Pelodiscus sinensis: one gene and its partners. The protein of the gene in region 1 binds, or shares a complex with, the protein of each later gene. Links are inferred from orthologs where the notes say so. Each region holds a gene or a part of one and is shown on either strand. Other genes may lie near its edges.

Region 1 (7,671 bases):
GTAGGAACACGAAGGGCAACACGCTGAGTAGGAACATGAAGGACAACAAGAAATGATAAAACCCAACTTTTGTAAGTCTCACAATGAACACTTGAACAGAGTCAGGAGATAGCCAAGTTGCAACAACTCCTCTGACTCACTTGTGACTCTGTTCTAGGTGGGCCTCTACCCTAAACACCAGCATTATCCACACAGATTTGGAGATAAGGTTCGCAGCCTGTGACATTGTCGAGGAGGATCTACAATGTTTGTTCTGCAAAGTCTGGTGATTTAATGGAAGGGGAGTGGGGGAGGAATAAAAAATATCATCCATGCTACTCTAAGTGATTGAACTCAGTGTCCTCATCCGTAAGACCTCCCTTATGCTCACTTCTTTCTTCTAGAGATAACATTTGGAATAGAGATGTAACCAGTTTATATAAATTTAATTTTTTTGTTTTTCCATACAGAAGACTTATCCCTTAATATGTCCACATAATACAATTTTTGTAGTGCTTGTAATTTAAGATGGTGGCTTAAATAATTCAGTGTAAACAGAAGTGTAACCAGGACAAGAGCATTGGATATACTTTTCTACAATTCAAAAGGCAAATGGATTGTAACCTTGCCAGATAACAATTGCTGCTGTAAACAGATTCCCTAACTTGGTTTTACTTGTTGTATACCTTTGCCCTGACAGATGGTTCTAATGATGGGAAAAAGCAAAAAGATGCTTTCTAAATGGAAGAACATACAAAAGTTCACTTAAGTTAAATATGGGGGGAGGTGGGGCAGGAAGGGAACCTTTACATTCTCCCTTTTGAGTTCCATCCCTCTATATGCTGTGACACATTTCAGAGCTGCTTTTCAATTACAAGGTATAAACTAATATTTTAAATCCAAGGCTCAATACATGCAGATTTTCATTATAGTATTACAGCAAGTGGCTATATCTAAAATATTTTCAAATAGGTGGTTTAAGTGATATCTTTAAAGTTTCACTGAGTGTTCTGCAGCACACCATTTCACTAGGTGTTTTTTCAGCACATCTTACTTGTGAACATTTGCAACAACTGCTGTTTCATTCTTCAGAAAGATAAATGTTAAAGGGCCCATTTGCTACATTCTGATGCATCTTTAACAAAACTTAGCTGAACCAAAATGAGAAAAAATGCACCCAGATCCTGGAAAACAAGGAATTTTTTTTCCTTCATCTTCCAGGAACTTTATGGAGTGACAAAACAGGAAGTGAGATCAGTGAGTGAGAGATAATGGTTACAACAACCACTGGAGCAGAGATTCACCACAATATGAGGCAAGTAATGCAAGATTTACTACTGCATGAAAGTAGTTGTGCTTAGGCTATGTCAACACCAGGAAAAGCATAAAAAATAACCCTGTTTAACCTGTGAACTGCAATAGGACTACTCTCCTACACAATCACTAGTTACTTTTATTCAACACATTTACTGTTCTTAGTTCAAGAGGTGAACAGTAGCACTGTACGAAGATCTGAAAGAGCCCATGATGGCTGTTTTATATTAAAACTGCTCCAAGATTTAGTTATAATTGGTCATTTTAGAGTAGGCATGTCCAAAAATAGTCATTCCTTACAAAGCTCACATGTCCAGTACTTAAAACAATACTCTGCAAGGCAAGACAACCTAAAAGGGTTTCTGGAGCTACATCTTTAGTGGTCAGTATTCAGCCTTCTTTGGGCAATAAGAACCTGACAACACAAGGCTCCTTCCAAAGCAGTTGGCTCTAAATAGCAGGTCTCAGTCTTAAGAGTTTGACTATACGATTAGACACTGAAATTTGAACATTAAATTACTTATTACACTATCAAATCAAGGAACAAGCACCTCTGCAAACCACTTCCTCTGTCCCACAAAAGAAAGCCAAGATCATGGTTTACTAAACCCTTAGAGAAATTAAAGACACTGAGGTTGCTTTGTAATGATGACAAAAATGGCTTCCAAAATAGTTTTATAGCAAAGCAACCTCTGGAATACACTTCACACAGGATAAAACATCCTCTCAGCCAAAATCAAATGCTGGGACACACAAACATTACCAACAAGATAAGTTTTGTCCCACTCCATGATGCTGGTAGGGTGAGGTCAGAAGATATTACAGAGGAGTCAAATCCAGGAATAGATATTTCAAATTTAGGGACCTGACAAAGACTGGAACACCCTTACATCTTGCACTTTTACAAGTTTGGTTCCAGAAGTGGGGGGGGCAGAGGGGAAGAGAGGGCTATTCTCCCACACACCCAGTCCATACATCAGGGTAGAGAACCAGCTGGCTGGTCCAGCTGAGGGAAATATTCCTCCTCCCCCCCCCCCCCCACACACACACACCCTGCTGGCCAGTTTGGGGGAGGGGGAGGGGGAGGAGAGAATGTGCCCATGCCTCTGGAGAAGGAGCCAGCCCAGTTGGGGGGAATGTTGCGTCCCCCATATCCAGGCCACACCTCAGGGGGAGGGGCCAGCCCAACTGGGGGGGTGGAATGTGCCCCCCACTTCCAGTCCACGCTTCGAGGGAAGCAGCCAGCCCAATGGGGGGAGGGAGGGAGAATAAGCCCCTCCCCACATCCTCACCTCCGGTTGGGGGGGGGGCTGGCTGTTCCTCCCACTCCCCGCTAGGCAGTTGGGGGGGGACGTGCCTCCCCATACACAGCCCACGCCTCGGGAGGAGGAGCGGACCCAGTTGGGGGCAATGCTGCCCCCCACCATATCCAGTCCGCGCCTGGGGGAGGGGCCGGCTCAACCGGGGGGGCGCCCCCCCCCCACCTCGTCCACGCCCTGGGGGACCGCTCCCCAGGAAACCCTCCGCGGGAGGCTCCGTCCTGGCGCGGAGGGCGGCAGGGCCCGGGCGCGCCGCTCACCTTTGAAGAGATAGTCGTACTCGTCGTCGCGGGTGCCCATGGTGCGCGCAGCCAGAGAGCGGGAGCCGCCGCCGCCGCACTGCCAGAGCCGGGACCCCTCCCTGCAGCCGCTGCGGCACTTCCGCTCTCGCGCCCCACCCGCCGGCGAACGGCTTCCGGGGTCACGCGGAGCACCACGCCCAGCGGCCGGGGGAGGAGCTTCGCCGCCCTGGCCCCGCCCACCGACGGGAGCGGCGGGTTGCCTCGCCAACCGCTCGCCAACCGCCTCCCCGCTGGCCGCAGGGGGCAGGCGCGTGCCGGGCTCTTGTCACGGGCTCGGTGTAACGCCCGCTCCCGCCACACACACGGGGCCCCGGCCCCTCGCGCTATGGGCCCGTAGCCTTGGCCACAGGGAGCTCTGGCCCGGCTGCCCCCCTTGTATCCCGGCTCTGCCCCCCACAGACCCAGGCGGGGCGCACCCCGGCTGCTCCCCTCGCTGGGACCCCAACCGCCAAGCGGGAGCCCGCCCAACCGCAGCAAGAACGAGAGCCCGCCCGGGCGCTACTTCGCCACGGCGGTTCCATGGTGTAATGGTTAGCACTCTGGACTCTGAATCCAGCGATCCGAGTTCAAATCTCGGTGGAACCTGAATTTTTTTTTTCTCGCCCTTCTCCAAGCTGCAGGTGGGACCCTCCCGCTCTGTCCTACTGGCATTGCACTGTTCTTTTCCCCGAGAGATCTAATTGTTGTCCATACAAATACATTAATTCTTATTGGATCTCTGTGGTCCCTTACCCAGCCCAAGTGCTTTGGGAGTTATTGGTTGCAATAACCCAGGCATGTCCAAAGTCCGGCCCGCGGGCCAATTGCGGCCCGTGTTCCGGTTTAATACGGCCCCCCAGGTAACTTGGCAATATCTATCTTTTATGGCCCCCAACGAATCCATATGTATTGAGATGAATACATTGTAAAATCTCAGTTAATGTCAGTTGGTCTAAATCAGTTATAAATATATTTGGACACAACATGTATACTTGGTGTTATGTTCCTGTTCATATTTTTGGAACTTAAAAGTTGACAGACAACCTTTATTACCAATAATATGCAATGTACTTTACAATGTTCCTGACATATTTCAGCTTCCTGGATTTTTTTTTCATCTGGCCTTCAGATATGAAAGGCAGAGTGATTTAACACCTGTTTAGATTTGTCATCCATGTGACGAAATGAAAAGTATGCCGTTTGCAATAAACTTTGCATAAAATAGTTAATTTGCATTTAATTTTAATGGTTCAAAGAATGTCAGGCAAAATGGTCGGCCCTCACGCATGTTCACTTCATCAAATCTGGCCCTCTTTGAAAAAAGTTTGGACACCCCTGCAATAACCAGTAAGGAGTAGAGTTCTTCTGTTACACTAATAATCATTAATACCAGGATCATTCGGTGTAGAATAATATTTAGGAGGAGACACCTGTAAAACTGTTCAGCTGTCTCCCTGCAAAGAGCAGCCTTGAATTAGGGCAGCGAGGAGACTCAATCAGGCTCACAAACCTCTCAGCAATAAGCACAGAGTGGGGCTGAAAGTAGCCAAGTTACAAGCAAATCAATGGTGAGCTGGAGTTTTGAGTCCCTGTGCTTAGGATAACCCGGATCCATGCAATACAAGTATTGCTAGGGAAAGACAAATTAAAAATGTGAATCTTTTACGTAACTTTCTTTGGCCTTGTGACTACCAAGCGCTCTGGATGCTTTTCATCAGTGATGGGCATCCTAAGTCAGTGAGTGGGCTGCATGAGTGGCCCTTCTCATCTTAGTGGGCAGAAAGACTGTCATAACCAAGACCATCTCCTAGGATAGGGTAGTTTTGCTAGCTGTGCTTGCATTCGGAGAATTTGCATGGTGTGCTGATTCAACTGTAGCAGCATTTTGAGTGGATGTACAGGGAGCGCACAGCTCTCAGTCAATGTTGCATGCACTCAGCATGCACCTCTTCACATGCCCTCGCTCTGTGTGTCACTTTAGTAATAGGAAGGAAAAAAACTAATGCAGATGGAACCCAGCAGAATCTGGCAACTGTGCATGGAGTACAGTAAACAAAATGTCTCATGGGCCACACATAGAACCCCATGGGTCACACGCAGGCCACAGGCTGCCCGCCACTGCTTAACACATAAGTAACTCATTGGCCACAGGGTGTGAACAACTTGGCATAGGAGTTTTACACGGTGGATTTTGTACTCTAGGTATGACCAAGCATGGGACTCTACCCAGTCAACTGAAGAAAATGGTCTCCATGTGTAGGAGTCTCCAGTGAGATGTCCAGGACTTGGCAGAACTATCACATCAGCAAGGGCAGTGAAGGTAAACTACCACTCCAGTCTGTGAAAGAGTTCACTATGTCGAGGAGGGCTCATGGTGTGGGGGCTTGAAGAGGAAAGCAAGTAGGACTGAGCCTTGTGTGTGAGGATCTCTGGAAATGTGCTGTGTCCACAGAGAGTGTTAAAAAAATCTAGAGCTATTTGGGAACAAAATGAACAGTCAGTGTGCTCCACTTCACATCACCTCAGTTCAAAGATTGGGTAGATTTTTGAAAACCCTGTCTTTAGTCTTGAAGATCTTACATCTAGTCTTTCTCCTGAAAAAAAAAACTGTTGGAGGGAGAAGTAGGTCATAAAGTTCTGCTTGGCAGGGGGAAACTCATTTAGCAGGAGGGAGCAGAAGAAGATACTCAAGCATTCGCTTGGGCTAAGGCAGAAACAGCTTTGAATGTGTCCTACATGATGTGAATAAAAATCTGGTACCACAATGTCCCTCTTACCACGGGATCAGAAAAAACACAGGTGAGCAAAGCTGTTTTGAGCACTTATCCAAAAATGCTGTTGGGAGAATGAGTGTTGCTTAAGGACTGTCTAATGTAAAGCGATGACACTTGGGTACAATCCCTGAAATTCTTATTTCATAGGGATTGGATTCAATTCTGTGGAAGTCAGTGAGAGCTTTGCCATTGACCTCCATGGCACAGTATTGAAACCAAGATGTGAGGAGTTAAAATGATACTAGTGGCCATATAATTGAACTGGAGCCTTTAAAATTTGTTCTTCCACAAGATTGCTTTTGGCAGTGGAATTGATCGGTTACACATCTGCATAATTAAGGGGAATGTTCTGATCTCACTTTATAGAAATGTAGCCCACCGGCATTAAGGAGAACTATGAATATCAAGCACCATTCATTGGGATAAGAAGAAACCCTTAATGGAATCTTTTGTTTATTTAAGAACATGCTGTTAAATTCACACCAATATGCGAACATTGAAAATAACACTGAAACATTGAAAATAAAAGATTGAGTGGAGCCATTGATTTGCAATAAAATAAAGTACATAATAGTTCATCCATTAAAGAAGAAGGATGCTCTATAATAAGGGCACTAGATCAGCCCTCAGGAGATCTAGGTTTCATTCCTTGGTCTACCACAAACTGCTTCTGTGACCTTGCGTGTCACTTAGTTTCCTCTGATATGTTTACATTGCAGTGAAAACTGCATAGCTCAGACACCAGGCTGTGGATTCAGGCTGATAGACTGAAAACTGCATTGTAGATGCCTGGGAGCTGAGGCCTACTTGCCTCATGAGATCATAGAGCCTAGGTTCTACACTGTAATGTCAGAGCCCTGCAAACTCAAGGCTGTTATCCTGTGCCACTCTCAGGTCTTTTATTGCAGGGTAGATTACTTTCGGTGCCGCAGGGCACAAGAGGTGATTTACATTTTTCCCTGTGAGTGCTCCATCCCTGGTCTGCCCCAGGACTCCCACTCCACTCTGCCCCTTTTCCAAGGCCCTGTCCATGCTCTGCCTCTTCCCACAGGCTCTCCTCTCCCTCCGCCCTAGCTCCAGCTCTTCCCACCCTCTCTATGCCCGCTCCCTTGAGCCAACCTGCCACTCCCTCCTCTCTGCCTCCTCTCCCCCAAGCATCTCCCACCTGACAAATAGCTCATTGGCGGCCAGCCCTGGGGCTGTCAAACAGCTGATCAGTGGCCAGTCCCAAGGCCAGAATCACTGGGGCTAGTGGGTGATGAGCACCCTCTATTTTTTTTCTGTGTGTGCTTGAGCTCTGGAGAACCCACCAATTAGGCACCTATTCCTGAGGGAATGTCCACGCTATAGAATGATGTCAATCTAAGGCTTTGGCCTTTTTTGTACTAACCCCCATCATCAATCAAATGTGTGTGACTTCAGCTACGCAAGCAGCATAACTGAAGTCGATGTATTTACTATGGCGTCTAGTGTACGGTAAGGTCAGTAGGGGTTGCTTTCCCAAGATGCCAGCTACTTTTCTTGTCTTGATGGAATACTGGCATTGATGAGAGAGCACTCATGGATTGCTTTATCATGTCTAAGCAGACATAATAAATCGACAACTGGTGGATCAATCATTGCAGTATCAATCCCCATCTATACATTCAGGTTTAAAGTCCTGTCACTACAGTGTGGTCATGGATAAACACCTCCTTAAGGGTACTAGCTAACAGTGCTGGGAACCCGTTTACACTGCAGCTTTACAGGGCTGTAACTTGCTGCACTCTGAGTGGAGGGTGTTTTTCCCTACCCCTGAGCAAGAAAGTTACCAGGACTAAGGTGCATACAGGATTGGGATAGCAGGAAGTGTGGCAAACCAAGAACAAGGAGCATTGACATAGGTTTGAAGGCAGCCAGGTTTGAATTATATGGGATACTTCATATAGGTAATGAAGGGTAGTAACATTATTGATGAGTATGTACTTCAGCACTGGAATAGCAGAGAATTCAGCAGTCTAGGGA
Region 2 (7,443 bases), on another chromosome or scaffold:
ACGTTTTTGCTTATTGGTAAATCAATTAATCGACCATACTATTTATATCCCTAACCCAGATATCTACTGTTCCAGAGTCATTCATTAGATACTAGATGTAAAATTGCCACCAAGAACCAGATAAGCCTGCACCAAGTAAAATGAAGAGATTTCTCACAGAAACCTGTTTTTACACAAAAGGAAGTTAAGAGGTGCTGCTCTTTACCTCAAGTTCAGTTTCTCTTCGATTGATGTCATCTGTGGATTGATTTAACTTTTCCAGTTCCCCCTAGAAAAGAGCAAAAACACAGGTATGCTCTGAGAAATTAGACATCAACATGACAGAGAAAAGAGAAGTACTGTACTATTAAGTGCTTGCTGGCATCCCTCAAAGAAAGCACATAAGGGCACTGGGCTGGAATGTTAAATGAAAAACAGAGATATGCAACATATGGAAGAACTCAGCCAAAGGTTATGGGTCTATTACATGAGTGGGCGGGTGAGATTCTGTGCCCACAGCCTGCCAGAGGTCAGACTAAGCGATGATGGTCCCTTCTTGGCTTTACAAGTCTCTTTCTTAAGTAGCAGAACACTGAGAAATGTCACTTAAATTCTAGTTTTAATGAAATATGCTTCTTGCTTTGGGTTACTCTTATTAATAAATATTCCATACAATCTGTATCATAAAGGAATGTGGCTAATGTCAGCTAGTTCCCAGTGTGACAGTTTAAGACAAAGCCATTTGTCTTCATGGTGGTAGGGAAAAGAGCTATAAACATAGCTAAAGGCACAAAAACAAGGATTAGAATATATTGCATTAACACTATAACAAAAACAGTCACATGCCAAGACAGTAATTGTCTTGCATAAGGAGAACGTATCAGAATTGAGCCCTTAGTGTTGAATCATACTAAAGGACCACCACCAGGAATTCATCAACTATTGAGTCCAACAGATTACATTAGTTAATCTGGTCACAATTAAAATATATGTTAGCTCTAATAATATAGCTGTGTTATCCACACAAGTCAGATTTGATTTTAAACTTCTACGACTTCAAAGACTTTTACATTTTTCCAATAATGGTTTTTAAATAGACATTTAAATTACTTTTTTGTTATCAAGGTAAGAAGGTTTTGTCCCACAAAAATTAAAGCAACAGACATTTAGTCAGATGTAAGAAAACAAACAATTTCATTAACAGCATGCAGTCAGATTCCCAGTGTTGATTAGACAAATGGAGCCATATTCCAAATAAAAAGTAATCCAAAATGTTAGTAAATGGGAGCTAGCACGCCTCAGTTGCTGAAAAATTAGGCCACTTAAACATTAAGTGTTCACAGAATCAGGATTATCTTTAGGCACCCACATTTGAAAATTTTGCCACAAATTTCTACAGCTCCAGCAAAGAGCAAGATACAAGATAAGAGTAATTACAAGTCTAGGTTCAACCCTGCAAAGACTCCTACATGTGCTTAACTTTACACACAGCCAGAAAACCCACTAAGGGAATACTTGGTGCATAAAATTAAGCCTTTTTGCCTATCTTTCCAGGATAGGGCCACACTGACCCTTCCGTCAAGAAGTTGGTCAGGGCATGAATTTGAACTGTGAAGGGAAGAAAATAGAGAACTCTGGTTATAAAGAGAGAGATTCAGGAGCATATTAAAAGCACATGCAAAAGGAAAGCAAGGTTTTAAATTTCAAGCCTGTGTTTCCCCTTCCAATTAAAATCATACCTTTGTTAAACTATTAATAATGTAATCCCCTCCTAGGTTTAAAGAAAGGTTTGATTTTTTTTTTAAATTCCCCCCCAAAAAATGCAAAATGGTCAGAATTTTAATTTAAATGAAAGGAAGAGAGTCATGGTACCAAACATTTTAATGGAAAAATATAATAATCGTAAACAACCAGTATTCACATCTTAAAATTATGCTAGTTGAACTTCACAAATGCCCTTGCTCCTTTGCAGGCACCAACCTGAGACCACGACCCACCCTCCACCACCACCACCTTATTTCAGGTATCAGCTTCAACCGTGTTTTGTTCCCCACCCCCACCTCCAACTTTACTTAAAAGCAACAGCCACAAATGATTCAGCTCTGGCCTTGTACCTATCGTATAGCGTTTTGAGAAATACCGTGTATGAGTGGTATTGGTGAAAATCACAGTTGCATTGCCTTGCCTGCAGGCAGGCAGACCTCCTCCCCCGCCCCCCCCTCACACACAGAACAGAAACCTCTCCTCGGGTATTCTTGCAGCCTGTGCAATGTGCAGAATATCACAGGAGGTTCCCCCTTGGGTTTGCAAAGCAGGTAGGTTGCTTTAAGTCATGGAAGGTTCAGAAAAGCCCCCTCTCCCCCCTTCCAGCTCTGATGCTGCCAAATCCGGGTGGGGGGGGGGGGGGTTAAATCGGAGGCGGCAGCTGGCTCGGCTCTAGCGCATGCACCGGACTGACCCAAAGCGGGGGGAGGGGAAAGGGGCTCTTTTAAACCCCCTTTCCCGAGGGGAGCAGCCAGGCACCGGGTGCTCCAGCCTCCACCCTTCCGCAGAACTACCCCAGAAGAAACCTAATGAGCTCAGCAGGCAGAGGCACAGCGGCTGCCCGCCCCGCTGGGGAGGGGCGAGATAGCAGAAGGGGCACCCCGGGAGACCCGTGCAGGGATGGCGAGGCAGCGACCGCAGCGCCGCGCGGAGACAGCCCCACCCCGCCGAGGAGGCCCGCGGCCCCGGGCGCAGGCATTGTCCGCCCCGCGCGTGCGGGCTCCCCGCGCGCAGCAGCAGCATCCCCGGGGCTCGCTCACCTGGATCCTGGGATCCACCTCCTCCTCCTCCTCGGGGAAATCCCCCTCCTCAGGCCGGCTCCTCCGGCCCGCGGGCTCCATGGGGCCGGGCTCGGACCGGCCTCCGCCTGCAGCAGCAGCTGGCCGCGGGGAAAGGGGCCCCGCAGAGGTGCCGGGCGGAGGAAAAGCGCCTCCCCACGCCCACTGCCCGCCGCCGCCTCGCAGCCTGCCCGCCCCGCCCGCCGGCCGGCCTCAGCCCGCCCCCCCGCGCCAGGCTGCCGAATCAGCGGGCGAAAGCAGCTTCCCCGCCCCCATTCCCCCTCCTCCTCCCCTCTAGACATGCCGGGCCCCGCGGCTGCTTGACAGCCCGGAGCAGCCGCCTGCTGTGTCTCGCGTCCCTTTTGTGCGGCTGCTTTGCACGTGGCAAGCTCCCGAGCAGGCCTGGGCAAGGGGGTGCTTTGCAAAGGTGCCGCGCTGCGGGCGGGGCGGGCCAGCTTGCCCGAGCCTAGCTGCTATCGCCGCCATGGGCCGGGCTCTGCACAGCCGCGATAAGAGAGCCCAGCCCGCCAACCCCTTGCTGGCGATAGCGGGATTAGCCCTGAATGGGGAAGGGCAGCCCCAGCGGGAGTTAGTCCAAAAGCAGCAGTGACACCTTCTCACCCCCCCCCCCTCTCCTGCCCGCAGCTGAAGCCTTGCAGCACCCTTGGAAGGCCAGTGTCACAGCGGTGCCTGTCACGCGTGGTCCGCACGGGGCTGGGGTTTTGTTATTTAGTACTTCCCGGTGAAAACAGGATCTGAATGGTTTTGCAACGCCTCTCGCTTGCAAAGGCACCTATTTGTGACATCAGCCGGACCGCAAACAATGCTGTTACGTTGCAGGTGCAGGGAAGGGCCAATTAATCAGCGGGTCTTTGTCCAGCAGCGGGCTGAGGAAAGTTCTGCGGGTGGCAAGGTTTTCTGCAACGCTCTTTGAGAAGCCCGGCAAATCAAATCAAAGCCCGGTTGCTGGAGTGCGCCTCAGCTGAGCCAGCCAAGTTTGCATCTGGTGCATGCAGCAAAAACAAACAGACTCCACCCAAACAAACGAAGTGTGTGGCCTCATTGCGTCAGCAAAAAAAGGAACCTCATCGGGGGTGGTGTGTGGAAATAAAGCTATTAGCTCAAAGCATGGTGGGGAGCTGTTGGGTATTTGATTAGTTACTCCCTTGCTGTGTCTACATTGGCACCCTTTTCCGGAAAAGGGATGCTAATGAGACCAGTTGGAATTGCAAATGCCCCGGGGATTTAAATTTTCCCCACAGCATTTGCATGAACATGGCTGCCGCTTTTTTCCGGCTCGGGGCTTTGCCGGAAAAAAGCACCAGTCTAGACAGGGATCTTGCGGAAAATAAACCCTTTTCCAGAAGATCCCTTATTCCTGATTTTAAGTAGGAATAAGGGATCTTCCAGAGAAGGGTTTATTTTCTGCAAGATCCCTGTCTAGACTGGCGCTTTTTTCCTGCAAAGCCCCGAGCCGGAAAAAAGCGGCAGCCATGTTCATGCAAATGCCGCAGGGAAAATTTAAATCCCTGGGGCATTTGCAATTCCGACTGGTCTCATTAGCATCCCTTTTCCGGAAAAGGGTGCCAATGTAGACACAGCCCCTTAGTCCTGAGTTTATTGCAGGATTAGCATCTTAACTCGAATGAGAAGACAGTAAAGTTAACGTCTCATACAGGCCCCTAGGCTGGATGCTGTTCACCATAGTTAGCCTCTGGTGGATCCCCACCACTATATTGACTTTGGGGAATCCCAGCTCCTGGCCAATGGGAGTTGTGGGAAGTAGTGTCCCACTCTGCCACTCCCTTTGGCTGGTAACAGGGATCCACAGCCAGCTGGGAGCTGCGATCACTGGTACCTGCTGAGGCACAGGTAAATATAGCCGAAGCAGTGGCACACAAGCATCTCCCATTGGCAAAGCTACTGACTCTCTGGCAGGTGAATTAACTATACCAAGGGTAAAACCTCTCTCATCAGCACAGCAGCATCTTCACTCAAGTGCTGTAGTGGTGCAGCTGTGTCACTGCAGTGTTGTATGTGAACACAACCCCTTATTATTTTCAAGGCCTTCCTTCTGCTTGTTAATCAGGGTCTTTCTTTACACACACACAAGTACATAGTTCCTTAACCAAATTTAAGGTAACTAATTCTTTAATTTCCTTTTGATTTTACAGCCTGCAGAGTCTTAAAAAATGGATGGATCTTGTGAAAGTCACTTTCTTTGTGAGAGATTCACCACTCCTATAACTGAAGGCTGGGCAAGTTCCCATTCTCTGTTCTTCCACCAAAACAAGAAAAAATACAAAATAATTTTCCTGAGATTTAAAAGGTGAAAAAGTAGACATTACAAATAATGGTCAAGCCTTCTTTATACATCATAAAGCAGCAAAGAAAAAAGAGTGGGCAGGTAAACATTTTAAAATATCATACACCTTTGAAGTGACACCAACAGCCTAAAACAATGAGAACAGGAGGCGAGGCGCTGCATAAAAGCAAACACAGCAACAAATCATAGTTGGACTATTTGAAGATGGCAAGACAGACTTGTATGGTGTAAAGCTTTGTCATTTTTATTTTATTATTTCATTAAAGAAAAACAGTTATGGCCTGATCCTAAGAAATGCTGAGCTCTCACAATGCCTACTGAGGCAAATTAAGGAAATCTACAGAGAAAAACCCCACAGATTTCACAACATCTGTGTCAGATATCTTTCATGACAGTCATCCAGCCCTCTCATTCCCATGGCAACCTGGCTCCCTGTGAAGCCATCCTGGCCTACTGTCTCAAAGCCCAGAGCAGAAACAGAGTTAATGCTGACAGACCCAAAATTCCCACTACTATTTTCCCCATGGGGTTGTGTGGAAACTGAAAGAAACTAACATGGATCTTCTTCAGTTTTGCTACCCCCTGTAGGGCAGGCTTCTATAGGTTAGGTATGGGGGAATGTCACTGCTTAGGTTTCATTCTCCTCTCCTGGAAAACATGCTAGGCCATCTGAGTGAGGTCTCTGCTCCTGCTGTCCCTATGAAAGCTACCAGATGACAGAATGATGCCCAGGGTACAGAATCCTATACAGAATAAAAAGAAAAAACGACAATGCGAAAGATAAGTTGTCCCTTTGTTACTAAATTATGCTTGCTATTGATATAAGTACCTTATGTGATGGCATCACCATCCTGCCTGAGTACATAAATATTTAGATTTTATTTATTTTGGATCACACTTATTTTGTAAAATTATCATTTAAAGAAAACCATTTGTATGCTCAGCTATTTAACAGATGAGACGTTCCAATAAAAACGGACAGACAAAACAATTCAGACAGCTATCAGTTAGACACTACATGCAGCTGTAATACATCTATTGATCAGATAATTTCAAAACACTGAAGATTGTGCTTGCCAAACATTTCTGTCTGCCAGATTATCCCTGAAATGGTTAAACAGAAGTAGGATTTTAGGAAGGGACTTGACAGAAGAGGGGTGTAGTGCACATGCATATCAACAGAAGAATCAGGATATCATTTCTGAATAGTATTTTTTATCCACACCAGAAATAATTGCTATCACATGTATAAAAGGCAACACGGCCCCAGAAATAACTTTGTAATGTTCATGTTCCATATATAGACAGCCTTCCTGCTCCGTGTGGCACAAAAGGTAAATTCCAGGTGATTGCAGCAGGGTATTATCTTCACCATGTCAGAGTGTTCCTTCACAATACGCTAATGGTCAGAACCTAAAGAAAAGAGTAAAGTATGCTGATTTTTTGCTAGATGCATCACCCACAATCCTATATGCACACCTAAAGATGACTGACTGAGACATTAGACAACATAAAGTGTTTGCTTTCTGTTAAATCAGTGTTACAAAAACATTGATCCTTAGAATGAAATATTGTGAGAACTGAGCATTGGGTAATTAGGGCAGTGGGAAGGGGTGTTTTTTCTTACTAATTGGACTCCGGAGTGAGCAGGCTGGAGAATCAATGGTTACACATCATGGCAGGCTGTTCCTTGACAGGAGCAACACTGCGGATTGTAAAATTCATCTAAGAAGTTTAGGATAACCACATGTGTGCCTTTCACCAGTGACATCTAGGGGCAAAACAACCTCCCATCTGTGTTATGGCCCATGACTTTACTTAGGCCCCTGACAACCAAGAGCAGAGAAAGCAAGCAATGAGCATCATTCTGAGTCCTCCTGTGCATCCTCGGTAATGGTCAAAAATCCTGGGAACCAGAAGGGAACTGCAGCCCTTCCATACCAGCCAGCCACACGAGCTAAGGACTACAGTTTTAATGTATCAATGCCTTACTCATAGACAGTTACAGAACAATGTACATATGGAGGAACCAATGGTCATCTGAGTTATTTTGGGAGTAACTAAATCACACTACAGCCTAGTTATGTTGCTCTACTATCATAATTATTGGAGTACAATCCCCATTACTTACTAGAGATCCTGGAATAAAGAAGCTATTCAGCTGTATAGGGGAGCTGTTCAGGCTTAGTTATAAAAGAGGAAAACTTTCACAGGAAGTTTCCAAACCACATTATTGGGTCTCCCAGACATAGACTTTTATATTTTGTGGGAGGAGATCTGAGAGGGTTTTTTCAAACAAAGAATGCTCATGTATCT
Region 3 (7,209 bases), on another chromosome or scaffold:
ACACTGTTTTTAGACTGATTTAACTATACTCGTTTGGACTGGTCCATTTAAAGCTATATGACCTCTAATGTAGATATATCTGTATCAGTACAAAGGTACTTAAACAAATACAATTTATTCCTGTATATTTAGAAAAATAACCCACACTATACAAATATAATTGGGTCCACACAAGGGTTGAACCAATTTAACTACGTCAGTTAAAAAACACACACCCTAATACAAAAAAATTAGACCAGTACAAAAAAAAAAAAAAAAAAAAAAAAAAAAAAGAGGATGTTCACCAGGTCTTAGGATACTCAGTCTTTAAATATATAGTACACATACTATGCAAAATGATATTTATTAACTTCTGCATTCTTTCCTTTAAGTTCTAGTTGCAGAATTTGTTGGTCAATTATAGTTTTATTTAACAAAAGAATATCTGCTGCTGAAGGCTACTAAAGTGGAAGAAACTTCTAGGAACTGGACTAATAAGAACAGACCAACTCCACTTCATCGCTAAAGCCCAAACCTTACCCTAACAAGCTTCTCTGTCTGGGCCTGCAGTGCAGAACAGTTTGCAGGCTCAATACCTAAAACTCTAATCAGAAAAGTACACAGTACACTAGTGGTAAACCTTAATTTAGACAACGTTCATTCAGCACTAAATAATACGGAAAATTTAAGAGTCAGTTTTGCAGAATATGAACACTTAACACTACATTACATTGGTTGATACTAGACATTGCTTGAGTTGGACTATATTCAGACTTACTTCCCCTTCCTCTCCTCCTCCCAGATCTGGGAAATATATAGTCTAAATTGTGTTGCACAAGTTGAAAATGGTTTTACAACTGATGAGTATGAAAAAAATGGACTGTAAGAAGCTAATGTTAAAAAAAATGTAATTATTGTAGATAATTTTATTATCTATAGTCCTACTCTGTCCAGATGGGCATGTGTAATCACAGGAAAACCTACTGATTTAAATGAGGATACTCCTTTGAAGAGCTCATTGTATGACAGAGGCTTATGAGCCACATAATCTATTATACCTATTAGTTTCAATTAATTTTATTGTAGCTATAAGGCTTCTGATCTAGAACCACATACTTAAGAAACCCAAAAAACTGTAATACAAAACATCACTTACTCTGTTTTTCTTCGTTGCTTGTCCTCAAATATATCATTAAGATTTATTGCCACCTGTCCCAAAAATTTATCCAGGCCCACCAGCGACCTGTGCATGACAATCAGGTAAAGAATGTATTTCTCTGGATTCCCCTGCATCAGTAATCCAGGGAGCTCAAATGATGCCTCTTCTTTCCAGACTGGTTCTAAGGTCTTCTCAGCCACCGAGGTGGAGTATTTTTCCTTGCCCAGTTGTATGATAGTGTAGGTATCATTGGTGCCATTTTTGCCTTTTGGCTTCAGATCTTTGGCTTGAAGAACTGTAACCTGTACGTGGGTTGGGAACCACGTCTGGGCTTGCTCTGCCAACATCATCTTTGAAGAGTTCAGTAGTTGTAGCAACACAATAAAGTTTCTAAATCTTCTAGTTACTGCATAAGTGCACTTAAAGTAGGGATATCTATGAAAGTCCCAGCGTTATTTCTCTCAGTACTGAGTTTGGTTGTTTTTGTTTTTTTGAGACACACTAACCATTGCTTAGATTTTCCCTCCAAAAAAGTAACACCTTCAGTTCTATTACTAATTTTAAAAATAGAAAAAAATCACTCATATATTCTTTTTCTTCCACAACAATTAATGAACTCTTCTTTACTCAGTTTTCCCCCCTCACATCATTAAAAAAAAACACCCCCCAACTCCCAACTCCTGTAAAGACAACCCTGAACTTTAAAATTTCCCATTCCCTGCAAGGCCTTCTAATGTACTGTTCCTACCTCATTGCAAGAAGAAAGGGGCCCAGGGTGAGATAAATAAAGGAATGAGGTTTCAAGGTTTGTAACCAACTGTAGCCTGTCTCTCTTCTGCTTCGCAAACTCCCTCCAGGGCTAAATACTCCCTGGTCCCTCCCTTACCGCACATCATCCCAGAAGCCCCAACATACCCTCCCATATAGATCAGCCCTGCATGTTCAGTCCTAGGTCCCCTTCATAGCACTCTCCTCTCCCACCATGTTCCACTGGGTGCTGGGTAGCCCAGGATCACCTTGCTTAGTCCTCCCCTCAAAACTGCAAAGCCCCCTTTGTACCACCTCTCCGTGGATCTAGAAAATCCCTAGGGGTCTCCTCTTACTCCCTCCCCCAGATCTGGGAACCCCCTAGCATACTCTTACCCCCCCAAATCTCAGAACTCTTTAGTGTACCATATTAACCCCCAAAATTTGGGAACCCTCTAGTGCACCATCTTACCCCCCCCCCAAATCTGGGAACTCTCTAGTGTGCCATTTTACCCTCCCCCCCAAATCTGGGAACCCTCTCGTTTACCATCTTACCTCCCCAAATCTGGGAACCCTCTAGTGTGCCATTTTACCACCCCCCCCCAAAAAAAATTGGGAACCCTCTAGTTTACCATCTTACCCCCCGAAATCTGGGAAGCCCCTAGGGTCCCCTCTGACTCCCCCCTCCCAAATCTGGGAAGCCCCCAGGGTTCCCCGCTCAGACCCTCCCTCAGACTGCCCCTGGGGTCCTCTCCCTGCCCGGCTGTGAGGAGCCCTGCGGTCCTCTCCCTCCCCCCGGCCGCTGGCCAGGGTCGCTTTGCCCCCGCCCCCGCAGGCCTCCCCCGGCCCCTTACAGCCTCGGCGCCTCCGTCCCCAGCGGCGAAGGGCGGCCCCTGGAGCGCGGCGGTGCCAGGCTGGGCTCCCCGGCGGCGGACGGACGAGCGTGCCCGGCGGCTCGCGGCGCGCTCGCTTCCCGCACTGACGCCGCCCCCCCTCCGCCCGCAGAGTCTGCGGCGCTCGGCCTGCTGCTGCCGAGCCCGGCGCTGCCGCTTCCGCCTTCCCTCCGCTGCGGCTGCCTCCGCGGCGGTCAGAGGGCAGGGGGCAGGGTTCAATCCGGCCCGGCTCCTGAGAGCCCCGAGCCTTTCCGCCAAACCCCACCCTGCTCCGGAGCTTCCGGGCCTGGCTGCAGGGAGCGAGGCCCGCTCACGCCTGGCTGCGGGGGAAGCGGGGCCCCTCACCCTGGGGGGACTCCCGAGCAGTCATAGAGAAGACGGATCCCTTATTTATGGGCAGAAGAATTCACCCCAACATCGGAGGAGAGGGAGAATAGAGGAACCCGCTCCTGGGGGTGAGGGGGCACCTTGGACTATTAGTGGGAAGATAGAGGAAAGCCCCCTAATCTTGGCTAGGGGGAAAGAAAGAAAACTCCCTATTATTTTTAGAGGCACAAGAAGCCATCACTGGGGTGCAGTAGGGGTCCTCTAAGCATGGGCGGCTGGGGTTCGAATGCCTCCTATTTCAAACCAGGGGAGGAAGAAATTCCAATCTCCTGCACCTTCCCTCTACCCCTCCACCCCCAATATCTTGGGCTACGTCTAGATTGGCATGATTTTCCAGAAATGCTTTTAACGGAAAAGTTTTCCGTTAAAAACATTTTCGGAGAAGAGCGTCTAGATTGGCACAGATGCTTTTCCGCAGAAGCACTTTTTGCGGAAAAGCGTCCGTGCCAATCTAGACGCACGTTTCCGCAAAAAAGCCCAGATCGCCATTTTAGCGATCAGGGCTTTTTTGCGGAAAACAAATCCGAGCTGTCTACACTGGCCCCTTTTCGCAAAAGAGCAGCGTAGTATTTCCGCAAGAAGCACTGATTTCTTACAGTAGGAAGTCAGTGCTTTTGCAGAAATTTAAGTGGCCAGTGTAGACAGCTGGCAAGTTTTTCTGGAAAAGTGGCTGATTTTCTGGAAAAACTGGCCAGTCTAGACACAGCCTTGGGTTGAAGCTGAAAGCACCATTTTCTGGAAGAGAGGAGAGACTCCAGGCTGTGCTTAATTTTAAAATAATGTTTGAAATGTAAGAAAAGAAAACGGGTGGTAGGGGACAGATAGTCTATTAAGAGTTTTCAAATATATGGAACACTTTTATTCAAGAGAATAATGATAATTTGCTCTTCTGGCCTGCTGAAGACAGGACACAAAATAATGGGCTTAAGCTGTAAGTAGGAAAATGTAGGATCAATACCAGGAAAAGACTTTCAGTACACAAGCATAGTTGAGTGCCGGAACCAGCTTCCAGGAGAGGTTGTAGAATTTTCATCATTGGATCTTTAAGAACAGGTTGAACAAACACCTTCCAAGGTTGGTATAGGTTGTTCCTGACTTGGTAGAGTTTGCTAGACTTGATGACTTCTCAAGGACCCTTTCAGCCCTATCTGTTCTTTCTATAATTCTATGAAAAAAACTCTTGCAACTGAAAGGAGACATGCTACATATTTAAATAAAAACATTTAAAATACAATTTCTTGATATATAGATCATTCAGATTGTCTTAGCATTTTGACACTACCCAATATGTCACCAGTTCTGCGTTAGCAATCAGAGTCCACACATGGTGAACAAGTCTAGATGTACAACTAGTCCAAACCTGTCATGCATGTCTGCCATTTTAAAGGAAGTTTTCAAAATTTTCACTCCTGTGATTCAAGATTTTGCAGTCTGTTTCAAGAAACTCTGAAATCTCATTTCCCAACCTTCACCACGCCATTTAATTTAAATTAATTAGCAAAAATAAGTATAAATTGTTTGGAAATATAGTAGAACCCGAGTTATGAACAACAGAGTTACAAGTGACCAGTCAACCACACATCTCATTTGGAACCAGAAGTGGGCAATCAGGCAATAGCAGAAACAAAACAAATAAAAACCAATACAGTAGAGTTCTGGGTTAAATATAATCTAAAAACTAAAGAAAAGTTTATAAAAAAAAAAAAGATTTGGCAAGGTAAGAAAACTGTTTCTGTGCCTGTGTCATTTAAATTAAGACGGTAAAAACATTTTTCTTTCACATAGTAAAGTTTCAAAGCTGTATTAAGTCAATATTCATTTGTAAACTTTTGAAAGAACAGCCATAATGTTTTGTTCATAGTTACAAATATTTCATAGTTACAAACATTCCTGTAGTGTTCTTAACTCTGAGGTTCTACTGTATATAATTTGAATGGTATTATCCCACAGGAGACTTCTGTGTGCTACAGATATTAGCTATATTTCTAAATACACATGCAGACATGTTATGGATGCTAAACTGAATATCTGACAGACACATTTTGGTTGCTAAACTATGTCCTACCAACACAAACCCACCAATACTGAACCAACTACTGGTACTCTTGAACTCTGACTGTAGACTATCTATTTGTACTGATGATTAAACATGGTTGGTGTGTCCTTCATAAATCACTGTGTACGTAGTTTTCTGTTGGTGTAAGCTGCAAGATATTTTTTGTAATGTTGAAAAAAAAAGTTAAAAGGATCGTCCATGTTCATTATTGGAACATTTATTGTAATAAATTTGGTATTAATTTTGGAGTGTAAATTACAACTATTATCCTGCATATCTATTAGTTAAAGTGCAATATATTTGACATTGGAATTAAGGCTGCACATTGGTTGTTCAGGATGAGCAGCTCTTCCACACACATGCTCCTTCTTTGCCTCTCCTACATCCCCCTTCATCATCTCCGGTGATCATCTCTTAGATATGGCAAATACTTAAGTGGGGATGGAAAGACATAAGGAACATGAAGGGATGAATGGTCAAGGAAATTCATCAAGGATATTAAAAAGCAGAGGATCTGATAGGTAACGCATAGGGGAAAGGGTAAGATGAGAAGACTATGGCAATGCTATTTTGCAAAAAGTTGGCTGATTTGGAGGCAGGGAGAAGATTCTTTGGGATCTTGTGAACACCTTGATTATAACTTTCACAAGTATAGATAACAGAAACAGAATTTGAAGCTTGAGTATTTGTACAGACACTAAGAGCGCTGGCCATCCAATCAGGAATAAAAGTATACCCTGTAACCTGTGTCCCCTCAGAAATAACATGTATCACCCAATAATCCAAAGTTTCAAGCAGATAGGTACCAGTGATCTGCTGACCAAACATTTCTCACCAAAATTACCTGGCAAACAATTCCAAATAATGCAAAAATTGCAAACTTTTCAATTTGCAAACAGAAACCATAGAGAAATTCATTCATCAAATACATTATTTGCCACAATAAATTCGCTTACCTCTACAAGTACAGACAAATGTGTTGATCCTCTTCAATAAGTACTGTTCTGCATGCAATCGGAAATGAAACAGAAGAATGGAATGGTCTCAGAGCAGCCAAGTGTAAAAGGAGAGTGTTTTCTTTTGCTGGGGCAGCTGAAGTGTCAACTCTGATGTGGAATTAGAGATGCATTGTCGGTTCCCTGGGTGAGAGCAGAGAGGGTATTAAAAATTACTGAAAATTACAGAATTCTGCCACAACTCTTGGAATCCTATAGATTTATTTAAATACTGATCTCTTGGGCCAAGCACATGTAGAAGAGTGAATTAATAGAGAAAGATGGTGCACGTGAGAATTAAGACTGTTTTAATTGTAACTATAATCGTTACAGGGCAAGACTTCCTTGTCTTGGTCAGTATTTTGTTTTCTGGCGAGTTCCTCCTTACAGCCTCCTTTTAGTTAACTCTGTAATGGCAGGGAGGATCTTATCACACAGGTAAACTGAGGACCTTATGACACTTATAAACAATAAGGCTATGTCTACACTCATGGCTTCTTGCACAACTATGACCATTCTTGTGCAAGAATCTGCAGAGCGTCCACACTGCCCGCCTGCTCTTGTGCAAGTAAATTTACAGTACGGCGTGGTAAAGGGGGCTCCTTGCTCAAGAGCTACGCTCTTTTTTGACAGGTATAAGCCCTCTTGCACAGGAGCTCTTGCACAAGAGGGCTGTGTGGACGCTCAGCAGGGATTTCTTGTGCAAGAAAGCCCTAAGGCTAAAATGACCTTCATAGCTTTCTTGCGCAAGAAAGCATCCACACTGCCATGGGCGCTCTTGTGCAAAAACACAGCTCGCACATGGCAGTGTGGACGTTTTCTTGTGCAAGAGTTCTTGCACAAGAACACTTGCGCAAGATGTTCTTGCGCAATAAGCCATGAGTGTAGACGTAGCCTGACAGACATTCTCATTCTCCACAACATTGCTAACCATTATAATTCTGTAATAATTGTTCATTTTTAAAGTCACACCAATTGTTATTCTTTATCCAA

What was found.
Region 2: the proteins of RAB11A (region 1) and SH3BP5 are in contact, whole or in part, in a crystal structure (PDB 6IXV), measured with the Homo sapiens proteins. The link is inferred for Pelodiscus sinensis from reciprocal best matches to the Homo sapiens genes RAB11A and SH3BP5. Residues at the interface, in NP_004654.1 of Homo sapiens: Tyr8, Asp9, Tyr10, Leu11, Lys13, Glu35, Phe36, Asn37, Leu38, Glu39, Ser40, Ser42, Thr43, Ile44, Phe48, Lys58, Gln63, Trp65, Tyr73, Ile76, Ala79, Arg82, Gly83; in NP_004835.2 of Homo sapiens: Asp42, Ile45, Gln46, Leu49, Glu50, Asn53, Thr56, Ile59, Asn60, Glu63, Thr64, Glu67, Lys240, Tyr243, Leu247, Leu250, Glu251, Ile253, Ser254, Asp255, Ile257, His258, Arg261.
Region 3: the proteins of RAB11A (region 1) and RAB11FIP2 are in contact, whole or in part, in a crystal structure (PDB 2GZD), measured with the Homo sapiens proteins. The link is inferred for Pelodiscus sinensis from reciprocal best matches to the Homo sapiens genes RAB11A and RAB11FIP2. Residues at the interface, in NP_004654.1 of Homo sapiens: Arg33, Ile44, Gly45, Val46, Glu47, Phe48, Ala49, Thr50, Lys61, Trp65, Arg72, Arg74, Ala75, Ile76, Ala79, Tyr80, Arg82; in NP_055719.1 of Homo sapiens: Glu478, Ile481, Asp482, Asn483, Leu485, Val486, Met489, Glu490, Pro493, Ser494, Leu496, Arg497, Val498.

What each region holds. Positions count from the first base shown.
Region 1 is NC_134724.1:5,321,892-5,329,562, forward strand, and holds the start of RAB11A (ras-related protein Rab-11A), read right to left. Parts: upstream 3,011-7,671; 5' UTR 2,913-3,010; coding exon 2,873-2,912; intron 1-2,872. UniProt on the Homo sapiens protein: The small GTPases Rab are key regulators of intracellular membrane trafficking, from the formation of transport vesicles to their fusion with membranes.
Region 2 is NC_134712.1:181,694,542-181,701,984, forward strand, and holds the start of SH3BP5 (SH3 domain-binding protein 5), read right to left. Parts: upstream 3,002-7,443; 5' UTR 2,865-3,001; coding exon 2,784-2,864; intron 269-2,783; coding exon 206-268; intron 1-205. UniProt on the Homo sapiens protein: Functions as a guanine nucleotide exchange factor (GEF) with specificity for RAB11A and RAB25. Inhibits the auto- and transphosphorylation activity of BTK. Plays a negative regulatory role in BTK-related cytoplasmic signaling in B-cells.
Region 3 is NC_134718.1:60,112,782-60,119,990, reverse strand, and holds the start of RAB11FIP2 (rab11 family-interacting protein 2), read right to left. Parts: upstream 3,002-7,209; 5' UTR 1,489-3,001; coding exon 1,136-1,488; intron 1-1,135. UniProt on the Homo sapiens protein: A Rab11 effector binding preferentially phosphatidylinositol 3,4,5-trisphosphate (PtdInsP3) and phosphatidic acid (PA) and acting in the regulation of the transport of vesicles from the endosomal recycling compartment (ERC) to the plasma membrane.